Daphnia pulex: one gene and its partners. The protein of the gene in region 1 binds, or shares a complex with, the protein of each later gene. Links are inferred from orthologs where the notes say so. Each region holds a gene or a part of one and is shown in the gene's direction. Other genes may lie near its edges.

Evidence for each region.
Region 2: the proteins of DNA polymerase epsilon subunit 3-like (region 1) and chromatin accessibility complex protein 1-like are in contact, whole or in part, in a crystal structure (PDB 2BYM), measured with the Drosophila melanogaster proteins. The link is inferred for Daphnia pulex from reciprocal best matches to the Drosophila melanogaster genes Chrac-14 and Chrac-16. Residues at the interface, in NP_476646.2 of Drosophila melanogaster: Ile15, Leu18, Ile19, Glu21, Ala22, Leu23, Pro24, Glu25, Ser26, Ala27, Ser28, Val29, Ser30, Glu32, Ala33, Ala36, Ile37, Arg39, Ala40, Ala41, Val43, Phe44, Ala45, Phe47, Val48, Thr49, Lys62, Thr63, Ile64, Thr65; in NP_001285148.1 of Drosophila melanogaster: Thr35, Gly36, Leu37, Thr39, Asn40, Glu41, Val42, Phe44, Leu45, Met46, Lys48, Cys49, Thr50, Glu51, Leu52, Phe53, Val54, Arg55, His56, Leu57, Ala58, Gly59, Tyr62, Arg69, Pro70, Gly71, Glu72, Ala73, Leu74, Lys75.
Region 3: DNA polymerase epsilon subunit 3-like (region 1) and molybdopterin synthase catalytic subunit-like share a complex: the UniProt entries of both Drosophila melanogaster proteins name them as parts of the ada2a-containing (ATAC) complex. The link is inferred for Daphnia pulex from reciprocal best matches to the Drosophila melanogaster genes Chrac-14 and Mocs2B.

The regions. Positions count from the first base shown.
Region 1 is NC_060025.1:6,579,750-6,582,775, reverse strand, and holds DNA polymerase epsilon subunit 3-like, read left to right. Parts: upstream 1-1,456; 5' UTR 1,457-1,604; intron 1,605-1,805; exon of another isoform or gene 1,806-1,828; 5' UTR 1,829-1,839; coding exon 1,840-2,025; intron 2,026-2,096; coding exon 2,097-2,181; intron 2,182-2,239; coding exon 2,240-2,436; 3' UTR 2,437-2,513; downstream 2,514-3,026. Other genes in the region: E3 ubiquitin-protein ligase LRSAM1-like, read right to left, coding at 2,670-2,789, 2,859-3,026. UniProt on the Drosophila melanogaster protein: Accessory component of the DNA polymerase epsilon complex. Participates in DNA repair and in chromosomal DNA replication. Histone-like protein which promotes nucleosome sliding of ATP-dependent nucleosome remodeling complexes.
Region 2 is NC_060025.1:6,928,105-6,930,856, forward strand, and holds chromatin accessibility complex protein 1-like, read left to right. Parts: upstream 1-1,479; 5' UTR 1,480-1,595; coding exon 1,596-1,730; intron 1,731-1,807; coding exon 1,808-1,928; intron 1,929-1,989; coding exon 1,990-2,066; 3' UTR 2,067-2,165; downstream 2,166-2,752. Other genes in the region: mediator of RNA polymerase II transcription subunit 12-like, read right to left, coding at 1-202, 266-425, 489-680, 766-873, 1,011-1,100; metallo-beta-lactamase domain-containing protein 1-like, read left to right, coding at 2,473-2,602, 2,670-2,752. UniProt on the Drosophila melanogaster protein: Histone-like protein which promotes nucleosome sliding of ATP-dependent nucleosome remodeling complexes. Part of the chromatin-accessibility complex (CHRAC) which uses energy/ATP to increase the general accessibility of DNA in chromatin.
Region 3 is NC_060026.1:10,881,444-10,885,837, reverse strand, and holds the start of molybdopterin synthase catalytic subunit-like, read left to right. Parts: upstream 1-1,476; 5' UTR 1,477-2,202; coding exon 2,203-2,331; intron 2,332-2,394; coding exon 2,395-2,507; intron 2,508-2,607; coding exon 2,608-2,795; intron 2,796-3,617; coding exon 3,618-3,712; intron 3,713-3,783; coding exon 3,784-3,949; intron 3,950-4,006; coding exon 4,007-4,335; 3' UTR 4,336-4,394. Other genes in the region: pecanex-like protein 1, read left to right, coding at 1-16, 83-223, 286-489. UniProt on the Drosophila melanogaster protein: Catalytic subunit of the molybdopterin synthase complex, a complex that catalyzes the conversion of precursor Z into molybdopterin.

The DNA.
Region 1 (3,026 bases):
GGGAAAGCGCATGTCAAACTTTTTGACAAGAAAGTCTGTCACGCGTGTCAAGGATGAGAAATTAAAAAACAAAAAACAAAACTCCCGTGTTAAATCCTGATGGGATGATTGCTGGTGTACGCCCACGCGGATAAAAATATACAGGATAAAAAATGATGCGATTGATGTCTTTGAAAAATTTTGAGATCGGAAAAATTATATATGAAATTAACGATGATTAAAGACAGTTTGATTACCTAGTCTATTTAAAAAAAAAGATGAACCATTATTTTAGTAGAGATTTGTTTCTTAAATTGTTGTTATTTATTTATAGAGAAACTTGGGAGTAAGCAAAACTTGTTCATTTATCCGTCTCATTCAAAAGAGCGTCAGACTTATTTCTTCAACTTTTTGTTTTTCCATCCACGTCTGATTTACAGTTTCCGATGTGGGCGGATGTAGGTCTGAAGGGGCCAATGGTAGACAGCGACACAGCGTATATCAGTTTTGTATCCGTTGCCTGGAGTCGGAGTGGATGAGTAGTATCCCGGGGCATATCCTGCCTTTTCTCTGATTCCCGACTCTCACACTTTGTGTAGGATTTGAAAATATATCTTTGGATCAAACTTGTCTTGAATTCCATGACCTGATTTGTAGGCGACTGGGGATGGTAGGAGGTTTCCGAGAAACGAATTTTATAAGTGAAAGTTAGAGTCGCAAATCAATAATCTAACTTCTCGTAATTTCGGCGTTTGGCAATCTATTATTCCCTATAGGCTATATACGGGTGTATAGCAAGCGATTATCCATTCAAAAGTTTTCAGGTACACACAACAGTCATTCCCTTGTAAGATTAGCATCGATGGAAATCTAACTTTTGGCTGCTAAAGGAAGTTTGGGTCCCTTTGACTCGGAGATGTAGAGTGGCTTGGCGAAAAGGAGGAAAGTTTGTTATCCTATTACACATGCCGCTCTTGACACTATCTAACGACAAGTCTAACGATCTTTTGCCGTCTTTTGCGTACGTCATATTTGGTGATCTCCATCCATTCCGTCAAAATCGTTATTGAATCTAATAAGAACAGAAGTGATCACGATTGTTAAAATTTTCATGTCGATTTGTTTTAACATCCAAGTGTTGTTCAAGATACAATAAATAATACTAGTAAAACAAAATCGGTTCAAGTTAGAATAACCAATCTAAGCTGCTGAAGCAACAATGTACTGTAAATACTAAATATTGGTGTAATAAAATTGATATTTCACTAGTTTGATATTTAACCTATATCTTGTCTGTTCATATATTAAGATCTGCTTATCTTCTTCGTGCTACATAAAAAAAATTATTATTTATCTTTATCATACGCCTCTTTATTATGCGACTCGCGACTGCTGGTCTAACGGGGGCGAAAAACTTATTTGTGCAAACGGTTAGAATATTACTCACAGATGGCGATGTGGTCTTGGCACTTCTTATTTTCCCGCCCTTTATTGTAGCAGAAGCAACATCGAAATCATCAACTGTGACTGTGTATTTGTTTCAGCAAAAATCTGAAGTTTTCAAGTGTCGGAGTGTTGGTTTCGGTATAATCGGAAATAAATTATTGTAGGAGAAGTTTTGACAGGTAGGATGTTTTCTTTTTCCTATGAAAATCTTGTAACAAGTGTAGTTAATTTTTTAAAAAGTTTCTAGAAATCTCTTGGAAATGACTAAATGGTGTTATTATTTGAAATAATAAGTGACATTTTCTCTCTTTATTGATTTGAATAGAATTCATATGATGAAATATATGTTTTGTTCAACTAATGTATCTAGCTGATGACAGGAATTTTGTTTTGATTTTCCCAGGTACGTAAGCAATGGCAGAACGACCTGAAGACTTAAACCTTCCCAACTCAATAGTAGCAAGAATCATAAAAGAATCCTTGCCAGAAGGTGTTAATGTGTCTAAAGAGGCTAGAACCGCCATTGCTAAAGCTGCTTCTGTATTTGTTCTCTATTGCACATCATGCTCTAACAATCTGGCTATGAAAGCTAACAGAAAGGTGAATCACAGAATCAGAAAATTTTGTTCCATTCTCTCAATTATTTACTAAAATTTTTTTGTTAAATAAAGATCATCAGTGGCCCGGATGTCCTGGGAGCAATGGCTGACATGGAATTTGAAAGATTTATTGAACCACTACAGGCTTCTCTTGAAGGTAATTTCTCTTTTTCAAAACAATTTTTAGAATGTCAACATGTTCTTTTCTTTTACAGTGTACAAGAAAGCACAGAAGGAACGCAAAGAAGCTATGGCTAAACGGAAACAGGAAAAATCCGACAAAAAACCGGAAGATATTGAAGAAGGATCAGATGAAGGTGGAGAAAATGATAATGGAAATGATAATGAAAATGACAATGAAAATGATAATGAAAATGAAAAGGAGAATGAGGATGAAGAAGTGGATGAATGATCTTAAATGACAAAAAAATGTGTGATAAAATTTGTATTCGCACGACAAAAAAATTAATAAAAGAAAAAAAAACACGACCTCAAATAGTTTGTATACTGTGAAAATTAAAGTGTGATTTACGTCTCGAAACGACAGTAGCAACAGACAAGATAAAAATGAAGAAAACATTTTTTTTAGGATGCCAAAGGCACAAAGATATGACCGATGAAAAGCTAAAAAGCAAATAAATAACATTATGAGTGAACCTGCAGTCGTTTAACGATGGTTGCCCGGCACATTGGGCATTGATTTAGCTTGTTGCCACATCCAGAACAACAACATAAGTGTCCACAAGAAAGGAATATAACTTGGCACTGTTTAATATAAATGCAATTAGAATGAATTCGTTTTGAAAAATTGAACTGTAATAAATGTAAGCTTACTGAACTGTCCAAGCATATGACGCAATTAGTTTCCATAAAAACTTCCATCGGAGGAGCGGATGCCACCTCCTCATCATCGAGTACAGAGGAAGGCGCACTTGGAAGATACTGTTGTGCATGTTGAATATTATCAGGCATGTTATCGATTAGACGCTGATACTGGACAAG
Region 2 (2,752 bases), about 350 kb from region 1:
ACTTTGCATAATTGCTGGCAATAATTAAATTGGCGAAGAGCAAGCTTCTGTTCATCACTCATCAAAGGGCTACCATTATGATATGCAGTAGCATTTGAAGCATATGCAGCAGAAGTTCCTCCACTATTTGTGGATTTTTGATAGAAATCTTGTAGTTTCACAATTTGTTCCTTTATGAACCGGACCAATGTACTAGTCCACTCTATATAACAAAAAAATGATTATAATTGCAGATAAAATAAATTATTTAAATCTTGGAAACTACCTTGAGAGGAATCTGGAACTTGACGCTTTTTCATTTTGGCTTCAGAAATAGCCACTGAATACGCAGATGTCATCTTGATTAACCATATTGCTCTAGACATAGGAACCTGATATTCACTTAGTTGGATAAATATTTCTTCCTTCTTGTTGAATATTGGCACCTTGTAAAAGGAATCAAAAGTTGGTATTTTTATTTGTTTAAGATATTCTGAGTATAATATTACTCTTTTTCCTAGATTCATCAAAGGTTTGCTGCCTGCTAAGTCTTTGAACCAAGACTCAATGAATGCCTTGGACTTTGGAGTAACATTATGGAAATTTTCTTTGGGATTGATGAGTTGGCGTTTTCGGCCAGTATCAGGCAATGTGTTGATTTCTTGTTTTTTTGTAAGCACTCCATTAATAAAAGTTTGGACCTAACATTAGGAAAGAATAATAAAATGGTTGTCAGCCTAGAACAATCTATGAACATCATACTAATTACAGTAAATTGTAGTTTACCTTTGATAAAGAAAAGTTGTGATTTTTAGCAGATCCATACTCTTCAGACTGATTAAGATTGGGTGTATGAGAAAATCCTTGTTTCACATTGACAGGAGTCAGTTCATCCTAAAAATAGTATTCCAAATGTTAATGAAAGGAAAACATAAAGAATTATCCTTTTTTTTAAATGAAACTGCCTTTTGGCAACTAGCATTTTCGTACTTGGGCTCATAAAAAAGCTGCAGCTACATTCAAAATATTACCTCTTTTTGTTTGGGATCCTGTGGGTAAACATCGGGCGGTCCTAATCTCAATTTTTTAAGAGGACGATTTTCCATTGATAAACAAGCCATAACTAGCTCTAAAATCAATTTCCACGCAGAAGTATAAATTTGTTACCACACATCAATGTTTACACAACACAAGTACACAAGTAATCAAATACTTCTAAATTCTTATCAAGAGTTCCGATTTTCAGACCATGGTTCAGACAGATATATCAGTGTGATGGCTTTGCTACAACGTTGCATTTCTATAATTTGCTGTTACGGCACACATAAAGAATAATTGGAGATGAATGTATTTGAATTTTGGACTAATCGTAGTCTAGCAACTGAATTTAGAAATAGTTATTAATACAATTGGTATCAATTTATTATGAACAAATTAATGACAAAATATGCTCCTTGCATTTTCAATTTTCATTGATCACATCTTGGCAGTGCTGTAAAAGTCAGCAGACTATATTTTGAACATTTCTATTTTGGCATTTTGTTAGAAATTGTAGTGGCGCGGAATTGCTGAATTGATTGAAGTGAAGGACTAAATCAAGTGAAATTAAATTAAGAATGTCTTCCTTTAAACCGAAATTAGGAGACGGCTCCATAATATTACCACAAGCACGAGTAAAAATGATTATGAAGAGTTCCCCAGATACTGAGAGCATATCCACTGACGCATTATACTTTGTAACAAAAGCAACGGTATTTTTAGTTTGTTTCCAGATAATTTTTTCATCTTATTTTTCTCATCTTCATCTAAAATGTTTCAATGTTTTAAGGAGTTTTTTGTAGAACATTTAGCCCAAGAGATTTATGAAAGTACCAAAAAGTCAAATGAGCTTACTTACAAAGGTCTAGCTGACATTGTTCAAAAAAGTGATTCTATGCAGTTTCTCAAAGGTACTGTGTTACTAAATGGTATTAGTAAAATTTTAATTTATTATTATTATTGTGTTTTCAGATATGGTTCCTAAGAAAATAACATACAAGGAATATCAAGAAATTCTGAAGGAAAAAGGAAATGGTGACTTGTTTTGAGTGTTTATTCAAATTCATTTCTGTCTTCAACATTACTTGCTCATATTTATAAGTGTTCCACTAAGGAAAGTTCAATTTCAAATACATTGATTGAACCCATTGTTCCTTTACGATTCACATCAACTAAGATAGTTTGGTGGTTCAATAGACTGCAGTTAATGTACTGTTGTAATTAATTAATTGCGGTTTTATGTGACCATTTGTTAGCCTAAACGGGTGTGTCCGTATTTTTTTCTCCCTCAATTTAGCGTACGTTATTTTCAAACCACAGCTGCTGCAATAAGCAAAATGGCAAAGTTCAGCGTGTCACCCATAGATGGCGAAAAAAGCAGTCTAAAAAAACAAAACATTTGATTTTGATTTTTGACATTTTGACACTAGAAGGGCTACTCTAATTTCTAAAAGGATGGCGAACTCCAACCGTGTTACAGTAATACATACTGGATATTCTTCTACCACAATTGAGGAAAAAGACGAAAATCTTCCTTTCGTCCGTGCAAATTGCTCATGCGTATTGGTTACCGGCAGTAAAAATAGTAACAAACAGCACAATCCAAATATGTTCGCAATAACGTGATAACAGTTAATAAATTATTTTTTCAGTAATTGTTGATACAATGACACCTTGGGATACCAATCTCATTTTACTATCTTTAGAGGCGAATGGGTTAACCCCTGATGACATC
Region 3 (4,394 bases), on another chromosome or scaffold:
CGACCAACGAGTCAAGGTACTTTTTAAAGCTCTTCTAAATTGTATATTTGTAAATTAATTTACTTATTTTTTCTCTACTCAGATTGTCGATCCCAATCAAGTCTACGATACCATTAATCTGGGCCGACGAATTGATGTTCTCTGGCCAAGTCCAACAATTCGTAACCAAGGTGGAAAATCTTATTGGAAATCATGGCTTCCCGAAGTGGGTATGGAAGGACAGGTAAGAAAACTATACGCGATGGGTGAATAGTTTTCCTTTTACTGTACTTTGTGTTTGATTAGGTGGTACATCGTTGGGTGCCTAATCATCCAGATTCGCGACAAAGATCGCACGTGGATCGCGTCATCCTTCTCTTGAAAATAGACGATAAATACGTCCCAATCGCCGAATCGGCGGTCGAAATTGCATCATTGGTTAGTGTCAACATCGGGGATTCTATCGTCGTTAATGATACTAAGCTTAAAACCCAGGGAGTTGCTGATTGAAATTCCCAAACGCCGCAGTGTTTTTTTTTCGAGTCCATTAGGCTCATCGTTGTAATATGAAACGGTATTTTGGTTTGAATGTGAACCCCGAAATTTGTTCACGAACCTTGTTTTGTAAATAATGTTTGTGTTATGCGGAAATGCTATGTGTTATTTGACATTGACTAGGAAAAACCACTGTGATTTGAAAACATTGTCAATAACGTTTACCGAGTTTTTCAAATGTCGAATGAAATTTGAAATTGAGTAATTCGAAACAAATAAACTTTTGGATTGTTTGTAGTCTAGGAACTATATATTTAGATTTTTCCTTATTCAACTACCGCACCCGCCTCATAGTTACTGTTAATTATTAAAATCACGAAAATTCCCGTGTTAGTAGTGACACAAGGAGTGATGGTGAGAAAGTAAACACTTAACAGTCGCATAGAGGAGTGACTCCAGTAGCATAAGAATGCGCCTGTCATTTTATTTGGTGTCTGATAGAAAAACTTGTCGGATTTTTAAATAACAATAGCAGGGGTATGGAGAGAAAGATATCTCCATAAATCTCTCCATACCCCTGACAATAGTATGCCGGTATGCACATAGTTTGAAATTTGAATATTATGAAATTGTTGATTATGAAAGAATCGGTGAACGAATACGATCGCTCTGATACGATATAGATGTTATACCCTTGAAAAAGTAGTAGTCTAGAAAAAAATCGTGCGCAGTTTACGCCGATGCGCACCACAGCGGCAGATAGCAGAACTAAACTTTTTTTTACGCTTGACTACCTGTCTACTTCAAGTCCTTTGTTCGACAAGCAGTCGGTTCTCGTCTCGTTTCTTGAAGTAGACAGGTAGTCAAGCGTAATAAAAAGTTTAGTTCTGCTATCTGCCGCTGTGGTGCGCATCGGCGTAAACTGCGCACGATTTTTTGCTAGACCACTACTTTTTCAAGGGTATAACATCTATACACAATACACATAAAGTTGCATAGAATATTTGCATCGTTGTTGGCTTCTTGCAGATAAGGGGGCATAAAATTAATGTATATATTTTGCGCGCAAGAAAAACTCCGCGCATATTACAATTTTTGAATTTTTAAAAAATACGCTTTAGTCTCTTTATGTCATTGCCACTTCCCACTTGCCAGTGCCAGCAGACGACCAGTGACCAGACGCTTTTCTGATTGCCGAGCCTCTGTCACAGTTTTACAGACACATAGTCAACGCATAAGAAGAGCGTATTGCTAATCAAGATTACTACTCAAAGTTAAATTTACTTTTGCGGTGACAACTAATTAACATATATTTTTTTATTGATTGTTACATGTCAACAAATCTGGTTAAAATTATAGTCAGGGATGCTGTAGTCTTGACCTTGATCAATGGATGAAGTAGTTATTCGGATTCTGTTCTTTGCAAAGGCCAGAGAGTTAGTTGGAAAAGATTTTGACAATATTTCACTTTCCAGAACAACTTCAAGAATCACTGGGGCAAATCTTTTGTGCATCATTACAGAACAATTTCCAGCTCTAGAATCCATATCAAAGAACATTGTCCTAGCTGCTGATGAAGAATATGTTGAATTTGATCAGCTTATAGACATTAAAAATTGCAAGGAAATTGCAGTGATCCCACCATTAAGTGGTGGCTAGGTCGCTAGGATTCTTCATAAGCAGTGTGCTACAGCTTAATTCGCCAGAGCCCTTCAATTGTATTTTAAAATGGATATTATTAACTTAGTTGAAGAACAGCTTGATGTGAATTCAATCTACTCTAAAGTGGTTGAACATTCTACTGGAGCTGTGTCATTATTTGTGGGAACAACAAGGAATAATTTTGAAGGAAAGAAAGTAATGTCAATTTGAATAATCTAAAGTCAAATATTTCTAAATCAAATTTGCTTTATATTTAAGGTGATTAGTCTAGAGTATGAAGCTTTCAAGCCAATGGCATGTAAAGAAATCAAGAAAATTTGTGAGAATATTAGAGAAAAATGGAAGGTTAAACACATTGCATTCCACCATAGGTATAATTTTTTTTTTTACCATACTGTAGTTATAATGAGGAAACTTAAGAAACATTTTTTTGTTTGTTTGTTTGTTTTAATTACCTATTTTTCTTTCCAGATTGGGAGAAGTTCCGGTTGGTGAAGCAAGTGTTGTAATAGCTGTTTCATCCGAGCATCGAGCCGAATCTTTAGAGGCTGTTCAATTTGGGATTGACGCGCTTAAGAAGTCTGTACCAATTTGGAAGAAAGAACTTTATAGTGATGGTGCTCCTGAATGGAAAGCCAACAAAGAATGCCTGTGGACAAGTAAAAATTAAACAAATAATGCTTAGTTGTTCCTATTTGTTGTATGAATTTTGAATTCATAACAGTACTGATTCTTAACAAGTAACACAAATATTGAACCTTAATCGATTTTCCGATATCAGAACAATATTTGAAATGGTTTCCAGTACTTTTCATTAGTTAAAAATCGGAGCATGAACGTTAGTTTGGCTGTAGTTTCAATCTTACTAAAGTGATAATATCTACGTAGTGCTGTCAAGTCTGACATTTAAAATATAAGGTTTTTAAGGGTTTTTAATTCTCTTTTTATTTTTTAACTAAGCAATGTTAACATTCATTTTACTTATTATCCAAGTACTTTCCAGTTCCCAACGCTTTCCAATCTTTGCCCTTTCATTATATAATAACATATACTGTGTGATTCTAAAGATGAGTAGCTGCAATGCTGCATTCTACGCACTGCTTCAATCTATTAGACGTTTTCGTGTGGTTCGACAGCTTTGCTGCCTATAAGCTTTAAGCTAATTATCTGACGGAATAGGGACAACCACACATAGACGTCCTTTATTTAGTATTTAGTTGTGACTTCTGCATTTGTTCCCTTCACTGCCGCGTACGTCATTTGATTATTTGGCTTATAGAAGTATGGCTTAAAGAAAGCACAAGCGTTCAGAAGTTTTTATTAGTCAAAATTAAAAAAAATAAGTACGAAAATATTCTAATCTTGTTAGGTGGGGAAATTCGGGATTTGAAATTTTTTATTTCCATGAGAATGAGTTGTTGGAATATTTGCTTGATGTGATAGATGCTTAATAGTCAATAGCATGTTTTGAATTGATATAGATCAAGAAGAAGACGCTAGTCTATCTAAAAAGAGGAAAATAATGGTGGACTATGCAGCTGCCGATTGCGTTCAGATCAAGGCTTCAAATTTAGAGGTATTGTTGATCCGTTTTACTTTTATCAAGTCTTTTCTCAATAAATATTTTAAATGTTTTTAATTTTTCAGTTGGGAAAACGAATTACTGCGTTTATGGAACGGAAACGATCAGAGTCGGACGTATTCAACGTTCAGGAGTTCTGTCACAGACTACCATTAAACGAATTAGAGAATTCATGTGCTCGCACAGAGGCAGTGCTTGTAAGCAGAAAAGATAGTAAAAGTCATCTAAAGGGTAAAATTATTTTATTTTAAGGATTCAACGCTGATTACTGATTTCTTTACGTTTTAGTGTCGAGATGCGTAAATATGTGGGGACCACAAACACACTCTGAAGTTCCGGCTCCATCTTCAGTAAACACCAAATTGAATCCGACTCCTGCTATCCAAGAACGGCTACAAAATATGGAAAAACACTTGGGTTTTAATTCAAGAGAACAACCTATTCCACTGGATGTGTACGGACGCTTGAAAGCCCTTGAAGATAGAATCCTTCATTTGGAAAGCATTAGTCCTGAATATTTCGACGGACCGTTTAATCTTCAGAATAATAAAGAAGATGAAGATTTGATATCAAAAATTGAACAAAAAATGGATGAATTACGTAGAAAATTAGTATAGTACCACTTTCTTTTTTCTGGTTGTAATCTGATCAATAAAATATAATGCATCCTTCAAAT